Linked DNA regions of Stegostoma tigrinum. Each later gene encodes a partner of the first gene's protein in a complex. Links are inferred from orthologs where the notes say so. Each region holds a gene or a part of one and is shown on either strand. Other genes may lie near its edges.

Region 1 (7,387 bases):
TCTAATTCGAAACCTAAACCCCCAATGAGAAATTCATTTGCCCTGAAAGCATGCTTCGGTCTAACAGTACAGGATCATACAGAGCTTCCCCCAAATTAATTCCCAATACCAGCCAGTGTTATTATGCAGTAAAAATAGCACAAAGAGAGAGACAAACTTTTCAAATAAAAAAAGAGGGAGAAAGTTTAACCAACTTGAGCTCCTCATACAACCCAATCAACAAATAACAGGTGCACTTTCAACAATGCTGTACACACCACGTCTAAGGAAGCCAAGTGGATTTGCTTTTCAATGCAACCACTACCATTTCTACTTGAAAATTAAGAATTTTGTCTGAGCCTATCACTACAAATGGATGATACATTGGCCCCAAGGTACAGAAATAGCAAATCATCTGAACACATTTGTCTTGAACAAGTCTGAAAACTTCAGGTAGAAATCATTTACATGTTGCTAATCTCAGTTGAATGAAACAACATTTTCCAAGAACAGTGGTAAAACAGACAGTTGAGTCTAGAGATTAAAAAGCAGATAATTAAGCAATTTATCACGACAAACTAGAATTGTTCTTGCATCCTGCTTTTCATCAATAAGGCTGTTCTAACAGCCATTTACTCTAGTGTGGATAAACAAGACAACTTGCAGTATTTCACAAATATTCTGAGAATGACAGAAACCCTAAGTTTTGAAAGACTGAAGTGCTCCCACCTAACTCATTGGGTCAGACAGCTGTGGTGTGGAAAGAGGCCCTTTGGCCCATCTCATCCACAGCAGTCAAAAATAACCACAACTATTCTAATCCCATTTTCCAGCACATGGCCCATATCCTCCTATGCCTTGGTATCACAAGTGCATTTCTAAATACATCAAAAGGGGAGTTCTTCCTCCTATACCTTCGGCATGAAAAGCAACGAGCATGATCGAATCTGATCTCAGGCCTCAAGATTGCCAACTTTGTGCCTCCCAAATTTCTAAACCCCTGGTTGCACTCATGTCAAAGTCAAACGGTTGTATGTTCAACTGCCAATTAACTTTTTTAAAGTACAAAATCCTGGCCAACACGTCAGTGCAGTGCTGGAAAAGTCGAGCTAGGATATGGCTTTTTTTTCGACCTGAGGACCTGACTTTTTTTTAAGAAAATGTCTGGAACAAAATCCGGTGGGACCAGAGTGCGGAGTTTCCTTTGTACGCTACATTACATTTGTTACTCAAACAAACCGATTTAAATTGCCCATTGCATCGCTGCCGATCGTACCATCGTGCAGTCAACTTGTTGACGCATTCACTTGGTGACTACATTTCAAAAATATTTTGTTGGCATCACAATAATACAGGACATCCTAAAATCGTTAAGGACGTGACTATTAGGAAAGACTAGGATTTCAATGAATTCGACAATAATTGCATTAGTATAGCACTCGGACTTAGCAAAAAGCAGTCTCGGTGCTTCCCAAGAACATCAAATAAACTTCTGACGCTGAACCAGACATTCGCACAAGGTTTTGTGCTCCTAAGATGCTGCTTGGCCTGCTGTGCTCATCCAGCTCCACACCTTGTTGTTTGAACAAGGTTTACGGCCCGGAAATAAATAATACAAATCACTTTCCCCACGCAAAAACGCTGAAACCAGACATTCTCTGTCCTGCGTTCCATAATTCCTATACGTGTCCGTGTTGCAACGGAATGACATTCTACCTCTTCACGTCTGCAAAGTGTCCACCTGCCAAGATCAACAAAACATGTTCTCAGTCCAAACTGCATGATGTAAATAACAGAGGCGGAGTCCGTTTTCATTGAAAGTTGTAAATAACGTAAAGCATGACAGTCCACGTTCTTACATAACCACATTTCTAGAATTAAACACGGTACAAAAGAACTGCAAGACAGTATTCCCCAAAAAAGATTAAATCTTAAAATCGATCCCACGAGTTGTCGCAAAATTAGATTTATTACAATCGTGTTAATTTCAATGTTACTTCTTTGCCAAAATAATTACCACTGACATTTAAAGTCAGCACACGAAAACTTAGACCACAAACTCCTCAGTTCATAACTCCGTAGAGAAAAATCAAACCACGACAGGTCACCAGACGGCTAGAAATGCACGGGTCGCCAGCGAACCATTTGTTGTATCTTCAACGCTAACGAATTTCCTCCAATGTCGTAGTATCAAATTAGAAATCACACCTTACCACCGCAGAATAAGCAAGCACATTTTGGCAAGATTAAAATGACTCCTAAAAACTGGTTTGACTGCACTCCCAAATAATTCAAACTCAACATATCACAGCATAATTTCGCCTTGCAGATTTCGACAACATCCTCAAGCTAAATACATTTGAACAGCCGTCCAAAGTGCAAAATAGAGAAAAGCAAAGATGGTTAAAAGATATATAATTGTGAATGATCAAGTTTCACATGATTCGGACTCAACCTATTTGTGCTCCACAACAGGAGCTCTTTCTCCTCTTTTTGTCCTCGTTCGCGTTCTTGAAAATCATTGGCAAAAATAGGGATCCGTAACAGGTAGCTGGAAATTAATGCAATCCACTAATATAAACAGCCAGATGCTATCATCTCGAAATGAAAATAACAAAATAAACGTTCAAGACATAATTCGGCCATTCTCGAAAATCATCACACGAAATTGGAAGAAATGGGCTTGATGGCATTGTTCATGGCATACCTTAGATCGGCTCTCCCAGTTTAGGAGAGGTTTCCTTCTCGAACCGGGGAGGGCGTCCCAGACAGATTAATTACAACACCTTTTGTTTAAGTTCTACTAGACCACTCATCGCGAAAAAAAACGTTTCTTCCACCAGAACAAACAGCCGAAAGCGTTGCCCGCCTCTTCCTTTCTGTGGTGTTGCTGCTCCTTTCGGCCTGACTTAACGGTGTTTTTGAAATACTAATGCGGGGGGGGGGGCGCGTGAAAAGAGAGATAAAAATCTTCCACTTCGTTTCCCCACCTCGTGTAACGGAGGGGAACAAGAGAGGCAAAAACGCTACAAAAAGAAAAATTGCAGCAAACGAGAACCTATTTTATTCCCCCACCCTCTTCTAAAAAGGATTTATCTGAAAGGGTTTATTACACCTCCTTTCCTGAGGAAAAACAGACCTGCTGCAGAGTTTGTCCTCAAGCCACTCACTTCTCCCCGGATTAATGTGCCTAGAGGAAGGGGTTGGGGGAAGGGAAGGGAAGATCGCGACCTGAAGTATATTCAATTAAAGGCGGAAGGGAGTAGGGGAATCTCTTATAATTCAAATAGTGGCTTTAAAAAAACAGAAAGCTTCAAATCACAGCTAACAAGACCGCTTCTGCGCCCGCACCTTCCTCTCCTTCTCCTCCTCCTCCTCCTCCTGTGGTGAACAGTCGACGAAACCGCACGCTCTCCCTCACATCGAATAGCACAACACCACCACCCCAGAAACGCCCCCTTACCGCGGCATTCCAGCAATCACGATCGCGAAAGCAATGACTGACAGAGATGATGCCCAATAGATTGAAAGCCGCTATAATTGGCAGCGTGAATAGCCAGTCGTCATCAGGTTGGGTGCCGTCGGTGATGATTGACGTGCATGAAAAGCAATCAGAGGTAGTTCGGCGTGCTTTGTCCCACCTCAGCCAATTACATCTCATATAAGGCGGGATGTTGAATTCCCTTCCGCCCCCTTTTCAAGATGAGCAGTTCAAATACAGACATGAGTTTAATAAAGTGTGAAGCTGGATGAACACAGCAGGCCAAGCAGCATCTCAGGAACACCTGAGATGCTGCTTGGCCTGCTGTGTTCATCCAGCTTCACACTTTATTATCTTGGATTCTCCAGTATCTGCAGTTCCTATTATCACAGACATGAGATTGATCGCCGTACACAGATAAACAGATTCTGTAAAGACTAACCAATCATTGTTGGAGGAGGGCGGAGAATCTAGTTGTTCGTAAAGCGCTCTGCACCAATAGGCTTGATTGTTGTTGAAGGGACTGCAGAGCTGAGGAATGATCAACGCCACAGATGTTTAAGTTGGTAAATCAGGTGCTCGTAATATCCAAGGTAAGAGTAAGTACTTTTTCATATTGTTACCTGTCACTGATTATCAGTTATCACCAAGTTCGCAATGTGTGGTTTTGATTTTGCTAAAATTATGTCTGGCACCTTGTGTCTCTCTTCTCTGGGCCCAGAAAGCTTATACGTTCTGAGTCACCCCTTCTTGACAGCCCCTTCAGGGTCTTCTAAAATCAATTATTGGACGAGGTATATTCCTGCCTTTTGTAAATATGTAGCCTTCAGCTGATACGTTGGAATGTTACGACAAATATTCCTCCTTGTGATTTAATTTATTGCATACATGTCATTTTTAGGTTTGCAGGTCAGAGAATTGTTTCGTTGCACCTCGATTCATCCACCTGTGTTTCTGATTAGAGTTGTCTACTCATATGACAGGAACAGTTTAGCAATTTAGAGATATATGTTTAAGTACCAGCTATGCATTGTGCTATCCTTCTTGAAATATAAACTTTATTTGTTGACCTTGCCTGAGAGTTGTAGTTTGCTTTCCTGGCGAAATAAACAGTGGATGTTGGACTGTCCCAGCATTCAAAGCAGTCTGACAATCTTTTAATAATTTACTGTAGAATGGGCAATTAATAAGTTACAGAAAACTGTGGATGCTGGGCATCAAAATCTGGCAGTATCTGTGGAGAGACAGCAAGGTTAGCGTTTCAAGTCCAGTGACTAGCACAGTCCTGGGGTATCAAAATATTTCTGTATGAACCTCCTGTTAAATGTGAAAGCGATTGTATGTCTGATTGCACTAATAATAGAAGAATATTTAAATAAATCTGTTTGCCATATAAGATGCTGAAGATTTTGTGTTGTAATAGGTACTAAATAATAAAATAATAATTTGCGGAATTACTTTTAATAAGGCTGTCCTATTTGTTTCTTTTTCATAAGCTTCTAATAATGTTATAACAGAACTACAGAAGTGTTATGGTGTGGAAGGAGGGAGTACCTGCAGTATCTTGTTAAATGAACATCGTCACCTAGTTCCAATCTCCTGCTTTTCCCCCTCACCATTGCACATTATATTTATCCAAATAATCATCCAATGCCTTCCTGAATAATTCAATTGAACCTGCCTCCATGACACTTCCAAATTTTCCATACCATTGACTCAGTGAGTGGAAAAAAAAGTTTTCCTCTTTTCATCTTTGCTTATTTTGCAGATCACATAAAATCTATGCTCTCTTCTTCTAGTTCCTTTTATGAGAGTAAGTTTCTCCCTGTCTACTCTGTCCAGCTCACTCATGATCTTGAAAACCTCTATAAAATCCCCTCTAAGTCTTCATCTATGTGTGGAGAACAGTCCCAACATCTTCAGTCTTTCATGATTATCAAATGCACAAGACTAAAAAAAACTCACTGACATCTAGCCAAGATCCTCACCAGAATAAAATTCACAAAACAAGGAGGGAACAATAACTGACTACCCTTCCTAGACAGTATATACAGAAAGACCACACATACGGACCGGATACTCAATTACTCCAGTAACCACCCCAACAGCCATAAACAGAACTGCAGCAGGACATTATTCAAACAGATCACAATACACTGCAGCAATCCAGAATTGAGCAATGCAGAACAGGAGTGCTTATACAGAGTTTTTAAAAGGAATGGATACCCAAAAAGCACAATCCACCATTACCTCCATGACAGACCACAACAAAAAGATACAACACCGCCAGGCACACAAACCATTCTACTGTACATCAGAGATAACCACAAGACTACTCAGATGCCTAGGTATCAGGATAGCTCACAAGCCAACAACCACTCTGCGACAGCTACTGATAATGTAAAGGATCCCATACCCTCAAACAATAAAACTAACATCATATACAAAATACCATGCAACAACTTTGAAAAACAGTACACAGGCCAAACCGGAAGAAAACTGACAATAAGGAAACACGGACACCAACTAGCCACCAAGAGACGCAATCAATTCTTACTGGTTTCAATACACACTGACAAAGAAGGATACAAATTCAACTGGGACAACATGTCCATAATAACACGAGCCAAACAGACATACCAGGGCGGCCTGGCATTCCAACCGAAACTCCATCAACAAACACATACGAACTGCTGAAAAACAGAACTGGAAGTAATGCCAACAACCCCAGCAAACCGAGGCACATGTGTAACAAGTGGGACAGAACACTAATACTTCACCAGTGGCAGACAGAAAATGTTACCTAGCAGGCTGGTGAAACGTTTACAAACTAAACCACCAGCTTGGCAAGTAAGTCTGCCACCTAAACCTACACTGTACTCCTTCCAAGGGCAATATATTCTTCCTAAGTAGAAGATCCTGGGTCTGCTGTCAGGACCTCAAATGAGGTCTAACCAGGGTTTTGTACAAGTGCAGGATAATGTTGGCATTCTTATACTCCACTCCACTAAATTTGGAGGCCAGCATTCCATTCGATTTTTGTTTTTTGATTATTTTCTGTGCATTTTGTGGCACTGTGAAGAGCTATGCACCTAAACCCTAAGTCTCTTTGAACCTCCACTCTATTTAACTTCATATCATCTTCAAAGTACCCTGATCTATTCTTTTTTGGTCCAAAATGCGTAACCTCAAACTTGCATACTTTGAACATCATCTACCACAGTTTTTCTCAGTCACCTAGTTTATCAAAGTTCCTTTGTAATATCACCTAACTTTGTGTGGTCAGCACATTTGTATGTATGACTTTCTTTGCCATTATCCAAGTTGTTAATAAATAATGTGAAGAATTGACACTGAACACAGATCCTTGTGGGACACCATTGGTCACATGCTGCCAGTTTGAGTACCTATTCCCAACCAATTTTTCAACCTTGTCAATAGTTAACCCCTGAATTAATTTGACACAGTTATATTTGAGTACAATATGCGAATCAAGTATGCTTTGGTCTGAACAGATTTTTAAAATTGTGAATTCTGTAAGTAATTTTAAGCAAAACTTAGAAAAACTTAACATACGTGATTTTACATAATACCTTATCTTCAATTGTCAGTCTTAGGTTGGTGGGGGAAACAGTAGTGGGTTAGAATGTGAAAAAATAGAGGAGAAGGTCAACATTAAATGAAATAAGTCTAATGAGAGAAGAGACAGGGCTAAGTTAATGAATACAGCAGGACTGGCAGTCAGGAGTTGTGTTTACTTTTAATGCAAGGAGTATAATATGTAAGGCAGATGAGCTTAGACCTCGGATTAATATATGAGACTACGTTGTGGTAGCCATTGCAGAAATTTGGCTGGGAGAAGGGCAGGACTAGCAGCTCAACATTCCAGGATTTGGGTACATTTGGAGAGCTGGAGAAGGATCTAAA
Region 2 (7,620 bases), on another chromosome or scaffold:
ACCTCAGTTCTATTCGAAAGAACATGTATATTTTGAATCATAGCATCCCCAGTGTAGAAACAAGCCATTAAGCCCATCCAGTCCACACTACCCCTCCCAACCCTGCATTTCCCAGGGCTAATCCATTTAGCCTTATATCTGAAAAGAAAACTAGTTTTGAGATATTTGGAAACCACAAGCTCAACTGAACACCTGTATGTAACAATAGATTCTAACACGTTAATCTCCAATTGTTAGAACATTTATCCCAAAATAAATTTCACCCCAAAGCAACTTCAGCCAACTAGATAAATAATTGCTATGCAGAAAAGATAAGCAGAGGGAGCACGTTGAGTAATTTTAGCTTCAACTATAAAAGTTTTGGAACAAGCTTGGCACGCACATTAAATCAGCAGAATATAATGTTCAGTTTCCACACTGTAAACAGCTGCTCAATTACCAGGCACATTTCGCCAATTAGGCCCCCCTCCTGCCAGGTTGCATTTTGTTCAAGTACTGGCAGCTTTCCACTACCTTCAAGTGATCGCTTCACATAACCCTAAACAGTGGGCACTGACCAACTGCCAGCTATGGTCAAATCTAACTTTACCTGGCATTCAGGCACAGACACCAGCACCAAACAGAAAACAATTAAATGAAAAATAGAAATAGGCTGCTTTTCTACACAAGAACTCAGGCACTTCACTGACCGGTGTCACAACAAGATCAGTTAACAAGTACACGATCAAGAATGAAGTTAAGAACCTTCTGATCTGTATATCACAGTAAACAATTACTAATTCAGTAATCAAGGGAGCTGTCCTGTGTTAATTTAAGTTAACTTTTTTTACTTCCCACACCATCTTCGCATGAAAGCTGCTGGACTAGAATTCCAAGAATATTTTATGACACTTTGGTCAAATAGCCATTATTCACACACCTCTGATAATGATAAGCCAATTTGACCCATCTTTGCATGATAGTGAAGAGTGATGAGTGAGCAGAGCTCTGTACAAATGAAGCCAATCTGGTCCTGGTTATAAAAATCCATGCATAGATGCTTCCAACAAGAGAGTCAATGGATAAAAGAGTACTGAGCAACTTTCTTTCAAAGAACAAAGACATTTGTGGACCCCTTCAAAACCTCTGTGCACATTCTGCACCACACAAACCAAGTATCAAGCCAGAGACCCGTGGAGTCTACAAAGTCACTTGTATATTGGCACTCCTTAGATCAGATGCTGCAACATCAATGAACTTACTGCTTACACATAGCTAAATTTGGCTATCTTTTCACAAGTGGAGGACCACAGACCGATAAAATAACAATAGACAACAGGTGCAAGAGTAGGCCATTCGGCCCTTTGAGCCAGCACCACCATTCATTATGATCATGGCTGATCATCCACAATCAGTATCCTGTTTCTGCCTTATCCCCATAACTCTTGAACCTGTAATTTTACCACATGGATTAGGGTGCAAACATTATAAACAGAGGAGAGCAATTGAAGGAAGTACATCCCCAGAAGGCAATTTGCAATAATCTGAACAAAATGCGTTGAAATCTCACTTTTTTTAATAGACAATAATCTGTTGCATTCAGAAAAATGCTGGATGTTACTGTTGTACAGTTCCATGACCTAGAACCTCCAACTTTATACCTAGCCAGGATGAAAATACCATTTTAAAGACAATGGAATGCTAAACAGAATTACAGCTTGGATACAAATTTCAAGCCTGTGATGCTGTTTAGAGCATAACATAAATAATTTTTAAAAAAAACAAACTTTGGCACATCATACAAAACATGACTCTAAGAATTCACAGTACCATACAGGATTCATTACTTTAGAATTCAAATCTGGGTTATAAAGTTAGCAGTTACACCAAATTTGAACCAGGATCAACTGTTAAAACTTATTCTGCAGGTTCAATCATTGAGGTTACAATTCTGTGATTCCATACAGCCACTTCCTATCTCCCAATGTGGGATATACAGGTGCAACTTAACATTAGACTGCTGGATAAATTATTTTTGGAGCAGTTTGCTGAAAGTGCTCCATACACAGCTTAAACCAGTTTCCTTTTAAATTTTGAAGAAATGCAATTTACAGAACCAGTCATACGGAAGCTTAAAATTTATCCTTAGCACATAATGCATATTTATAAACAAAAAGTATTTTTTGGAAGGTCACAGATGAATTAAATATTCATGTTAACTGATCGCAGCAGCATTCACCATACAGGTTAATTGTAGGTCTTGTATGGAGACACTTGCGCAAAGGGCACACGTGATGACCATGTGGTCAAATATCCCAAGACCGCTCACAGACAAGCATGGGGTTATCAGTGCCTTCAGGAAACAAGAGACACGGAGGGGAAAAGGGTCAAGGTACTTTAAAATTGCACACCCTAGCTCTGAACTTAAAATAAAAATCTTAGAAACAAAAATATTTCAAAAATGTGATCAAATCACGAAAGAAATAAAACGGAAGATTCCTGGGAAAAACGGAGGAAGTAACTTCTGGGAAGATAGACAGTTAATGTTTCAAATCAATTCATCAGAACTGCGTTCAAACCTAAAACGCTAACTCCTTTTTTCCCTTTACAAAATCCACTTTAAAAGTTTGAATTCCGACCACTTGCAACATTTTTTTTTGTTTTTAAGTGCTTAGATTTCCAGCATTTGTGGTATTCTGATTTTGTATTGTGATTGAGATTGAGATGTAAAATCAACCAACTCGAGAAACTAACGTTTCCAAAATTCCCCTTCAAAAAAAAGGCATGTTTCACTCTTAAGGAAGGGAACAGAGGACCACGCTGGCCGCTGCCATAAGGCGCCAGATTCAGGCTTTTTAAGCCCCTTCTCCTCATGGTCGGGCAGAGTGTGATTGATGGTTTTGGGGAGATGCAGGTGGGGGAAGAGACGCCGCGTTTCACTCTGCCGCAGTGGACAGATTGGGGTACCATCTGGACGAGCCGAGCCAACTCGAACCAGAGCTACTGTTGCCGCGGCCTCCCCGTTCTCCATGCGCCCACATGGCAACACCGCGCTCACAAGGCCCGATCCTGTTGTAGGGTCCACCATCCCAGCGTCGCTTGCCTCCCAGTCTATCTTAGAGACCCCCATACTCACGGTTAGCGATGTCTCCACCCATTTTGTACTTGGTGACCACCAAGTCCTCGGCGATGGTCTGTTCCTGGCTCTCATCGTCCGACATCTTTACCCTCCTGTTACCCACAGGCCTGCGCGTTCATCCTCCCGCCCACCGCCTTTCCCAACACTGATCCGCACCATCCTGCTCCCTGGGAAATGTAGTCTCATATACTTGCCGTCTCCAGTTTTTATGATAACAATTGGGGCAATGTAAAACTACAACTCCCGGAGGGCACCACGACAATAGTACATGCGAAATGAGGAGGCATTTGCCCGTCGAGTGATTTTTTTTACATATACCTCACGTTTTGTCAGATTTGAAGATCGAGCTGTTCTCCACCCCTTCCCTCCCGATATCTCCCCCCGCCCCCCCAATGAAACTGTACATGGCCTGTACAAGAGTGGAACAACCATCGAACAGTAAGACCAATTTAAACATTGTCACTGTTTCATACTGATAGTTCTTTTTAAATTTAAGCCTGACTGGCAATAACGTGGAACATTTAAAGGAGAGTGGCAGGCAGTTCCGTCTTAAACGTTTAGAAGAGAACCTGTTTGTTGTCATTAATAAGATGTATTATGTCCTGAATAAAACAAGTGACAGTTAATTTGCCAGTCGCCACTTTGTAAGAGTGACATTTAGTATGTATCGAAAAGTTATGTGTCCCTTTGCTTTCTGTAAGTGATTTTCAATCGTTTTCTTTCCGGTGGCAGACCCCTACAAAACTCGTGTCCTAAAGCCCAAAACGTCAATGTCAGGAACTCAAAGGTTATTTTTGGAGCAACACAAGTAATATAATACAACCACAAAAATTCTGACGACTGAGGGTAGGAACTGTCATCTTGAACATCTGTTGTAATATTCAATAGAGTAACTTATGTTGCATCAAAATATTTCACTTGTCCAACTACTAACACAATTTTGCTTCTTTGGGATGTCCAAGAAGACGTTCCATTAAAAGAGTGCCACCATCACATTGTTTATAGAGTGGACATAGATTCAGATCCTGGAACAAATAAACTCAGTTATTGCAAATTTGTACTGGGGAAGGTACCAGATCAGCTGTAGTAAAACCTTTCAATGCTTTTTGTAAACACTGAGAATACAAGAAATAGAAGCAAAATAGGTCATTCAGACCACTGACTTATGCCATTCTGAGAGATCATGGCTGGACTCGATGCTTATTCTTTGATTTAACAATCCCAATTCCTCACATTGCCATTGTTTGTTTTGCCAACCATCTCAAATAAGTGTCTTCTAGTTCTTACGCTTTCTTCAATGAGAACAATTTCCCCCATCTTCTCTTGTGCAGCAATGATTTTGAATATTTCTATAAAATCTTCTTTCAACCTCCTCTAAGGAGAAGAGTCCCAGCTTCTCCAATCAATCCTCTTAAATGAAGTTTATCCTCCTGGGAACAGTTATTGCAAATAAATATTTTCTGCATCTCTCTTGTGCCTTCACATCACAAAATCATAAATTTGTTCTGGTGCAGAGGAGGCCACTTGGCCCATTGTGTCTGCATTGACTCTCTGCATTTTGACTCACTGCCAAGTTCCTATGTTATCCCCATAGCCTACATGTTGTTTCTATTTAAATAATCATAAATACCTTCTTGAATGGCTGAATTGAACTCCCTCCACCACACTTCCAGGCAGTGTATTCCAGATTCTAATTGCTCACTGTGTGAAAAAATATTTTTCACCTAGCATTTACTTCTTTTGCAAACCACTTTAAATCTCTGCCATTTGGCTCTCCATTCTCTTATGAGGGGGAATAGTTTCTCCCTATTTTCTGTCAAAACCCCTCATGATTTTAAAAACTTCTTTCAAATCTCTGCCTCTCTCCGAGAAAACAGTCCCAACTTCTCCATAACTGAAGTCTCTCATCTCTGGAATAATTCACGTACATCTCTCTGTATACTCTCCAGTGCATCGACACCCTTTTTAAAGTGTGAACCCAAAACTATGAACAGTACTCCTGCTAAGATTGAACTGGTGCCTTGTATAAATTCAGCATAACCTCTCTTGTGCCTTGTGCTGCTATTAATGAAGCCTAAAACACAGTATGCTTTATTAACTGCTCTCCATCCCTCTAAAGGCCTAAGCAAAAATACACCAGGTCTGTCTGCTCCTGCACACCCTTTGGAGTATTACTCCTTTTTTTTGTACCTCTTCCACTTCTTTGTAGAAAAATGTATTGCATCACACTTCTCTGCATTGAACTGCATCTGCCACTTATCCATCCCCTGCACCAACTTCTTAATGTCCTTTTGAAGTTCGACGTCATCTTCCTCACAGTTCACAATTCTCCCAAGTTTTGTATTGTCCACTAACTTTGAAATTGTCCTCTGCACATGAAGACCTAGATAATTTATACAAATCACAAGGCATTTAATACTAACCCCTTCGGAACTCCACCACAATCCACCTTCTAAACTGAAAGTTATCCATTAACCATTACTCTGTTTCCTATCTCTTAGCTGGGGACATTTAAGAGACTGCTGGACATGCATATGGTCACAGAAATTTGAGGGTGCTTACGTGAGGATCAATGGTCGGCACAACATCGTGGGCTGAAGGGCCTGTTCTGTGCTGTACTGTTCTATGTTCTATGTTCTGTGTTCTAATTTTGTACTCATTTGCTACTGTCCCTTTTATTCCATTGGGTCATTACTTTTCTTCCCAGTCTGTCGTGTGACACTGTATCAAATGCCTTTTGGAAATCCATGTTTGCAATATCAACAGCATGACCCTCACCAATCTTCTCCATTACCGCTTCAAAAAAACTCCAGCAAGTTAGTTAAACACAAAATTTCCTTGACAACTGTATGCTGACTCCTCCAAATTAACCCATATTTTACCATGTGACAATTAATACCAACCTGAATAATTGTTTCTACAATTTTCCCCACCACCGAAAGTAAGATGATGGTCTATTTGGAGCAGGAGTAGGCCATTCTACCCCTCGAGCCTGTTCCACCATTCAGTGAGATCATGGCTGATCTGTGGCCTAACTCTCTATACCTGCCTTTGGCTCATATTCATTAATATATTCGCTTAACAAAAATTTATCGCAGATTTAAAATTAACAAATGGTCCTGCATACACTGCCATTTGTGGAAGCCAGTTCTGAATATCTACCACCTTTTATGTATAGAAGTGCATCCTAACCTCCCACATTAACGGTCTGGTGTGATAAGAGCTAAATGTAGGTGAGAAAGGGTGAATTATACTGAAAGCAACCCCTATAATGTGATAGTAGGCCTAGGAGAAGGGGAGAATGGATGAATGCGCTAAAGGCAACCCATGTCGTAATAGTACCAGGTGGGGGTGGGTAAAATAAAAAGGAAGGATGGAATCAGGCTGTAAAGTTATCGAACTTGATGTTGAATACTAGAGGCTGCAGGGTGCCCAAGTGGAAAATTAGGTGTTCTTTGGGCTTGCGCTGAAGCTTATTGGAACACTGCAGCAGGCCTGCGACAAAAATGTTGGCCTGGGAACATAATGGTGTGTTAAAACGGCAGGTAACTGGAAGCTCAGGGTCATTTTTGCAGACAGAACATAGGTGTTTTGCAAAGTGGTCACCTAGTGTATGTTTTGGCTCCCCAGTGTAGAGGAGACCACACTGTGATCAACAAATACAATAGATGAGTTTAATGAGGTACAGGTAATTGGCTGCTTCACCTGGACGATATGTCTGGGACCTTGGATAGCGAGGAGGGACAAGGTAAATGGGCAGGTATTACACCTTCTGCAATTGCATGGAAAGATGCTGTGGGGATGTGAGGAGATGCTGGGAATGGAGAAAGAGTGAACCAGAGTATCCCGGAGGGAATGGCCCCCACAGGATACTGATGAGGCAGGGGACGGTAATATGTATCTGGTCATGGCATCCCATTAGAGGTGTCAGAAATGGCAGCTTAATCCTTTGGATCCAGTAGCTGGTGGAGTAGTAAATGAGGACCAGGTGGACCCCCTCATTGTTGTAGCTGGGAAGACAAGCGGAAAAGGTAGACATGCAGGAAGTGGGTCAAATATGGCTCTGTCAACCACAGTAGCTGTGAATCTTTGGTTGAGGAAAAAAGTAGACATTTCTGAGATCCCCGCACCACCCCGCCCACCACAGAAGGTGGCTATGTCAAAACAGATGCAAAGGAGGTGAAGGATCTGGTATGGAGTCCTTACTGGAAGTAGCCTATGAGGAAATATAGGCAAGCTGACTCTGAGAGTTGTTGGGTTTGTAATGGATGTCAACGGCCAGCCTGTCCCCAGAAATTGAAACAGAGATTGGAAGCAAAATTGATAAATGTATCCAGTTCAGAATGAGAGGAGAAAGCAGCATCAATGATGTTGTTGATATACTGGAGAAAGTGTTCTGGGGTGGTGCCCAAGTAAGGTCTAATTTCCAAGGAACAGAATCCTAGAGTTTGTGTGATCTCTTATTGTAATTTAACATTGAGTTCAGGTTGATAAACCTATAC

What was found.
Region 2: arvcfb (region 1) and pa2g4a share a complex: the UniProt entries of both Homo sapiens proteins name them as parts of the ribonucleoprotein complex. The link is inferred for Stegostoma tigrinum from reciprocal best matches to the Homo sapiens genes ARVCF and PA2G4.

Annotation. Positions count from the first base shown.
Region 1 is NC_081379.1:6,035,244-6,042,630, reverse strand, and holds the start of arvcfb (ARVCF delta catenin family member b), read right to left. Parts: upstream 3,379-7,387; 5' UTR 3,331-3,378; intron 3,320-3,330; exon of another isoform or gene 2,687-3,319; intron 1,721-2,686; exon of another isoform or gene 1,696-1,720; intron 1-1,695. UniProt on the Homo sapiens protein: Contributes to the regulation of alternative splicing of pre-mRNAs.
Region 2 is NC_081404.1:11,536,222-11,543,841, reverse strand, and holds the start of pa2g4a (proliferation-associated protein 2G4a), read right to left. Parts: upstream 3,247-7,620; 5' UTR 3,201-3,246; coding exon 3,116-3,200; intron 1-3,115. UniProt on the Homo sapiens protein: May play a role in a ERBB3-regulated signal transduction pathway. Seems be involved in growth regulation. Acts a corepressor of the androgen receptor (AR) and is regulated by the ERBB3 ligand neuregulin-1/heregulin (HRG).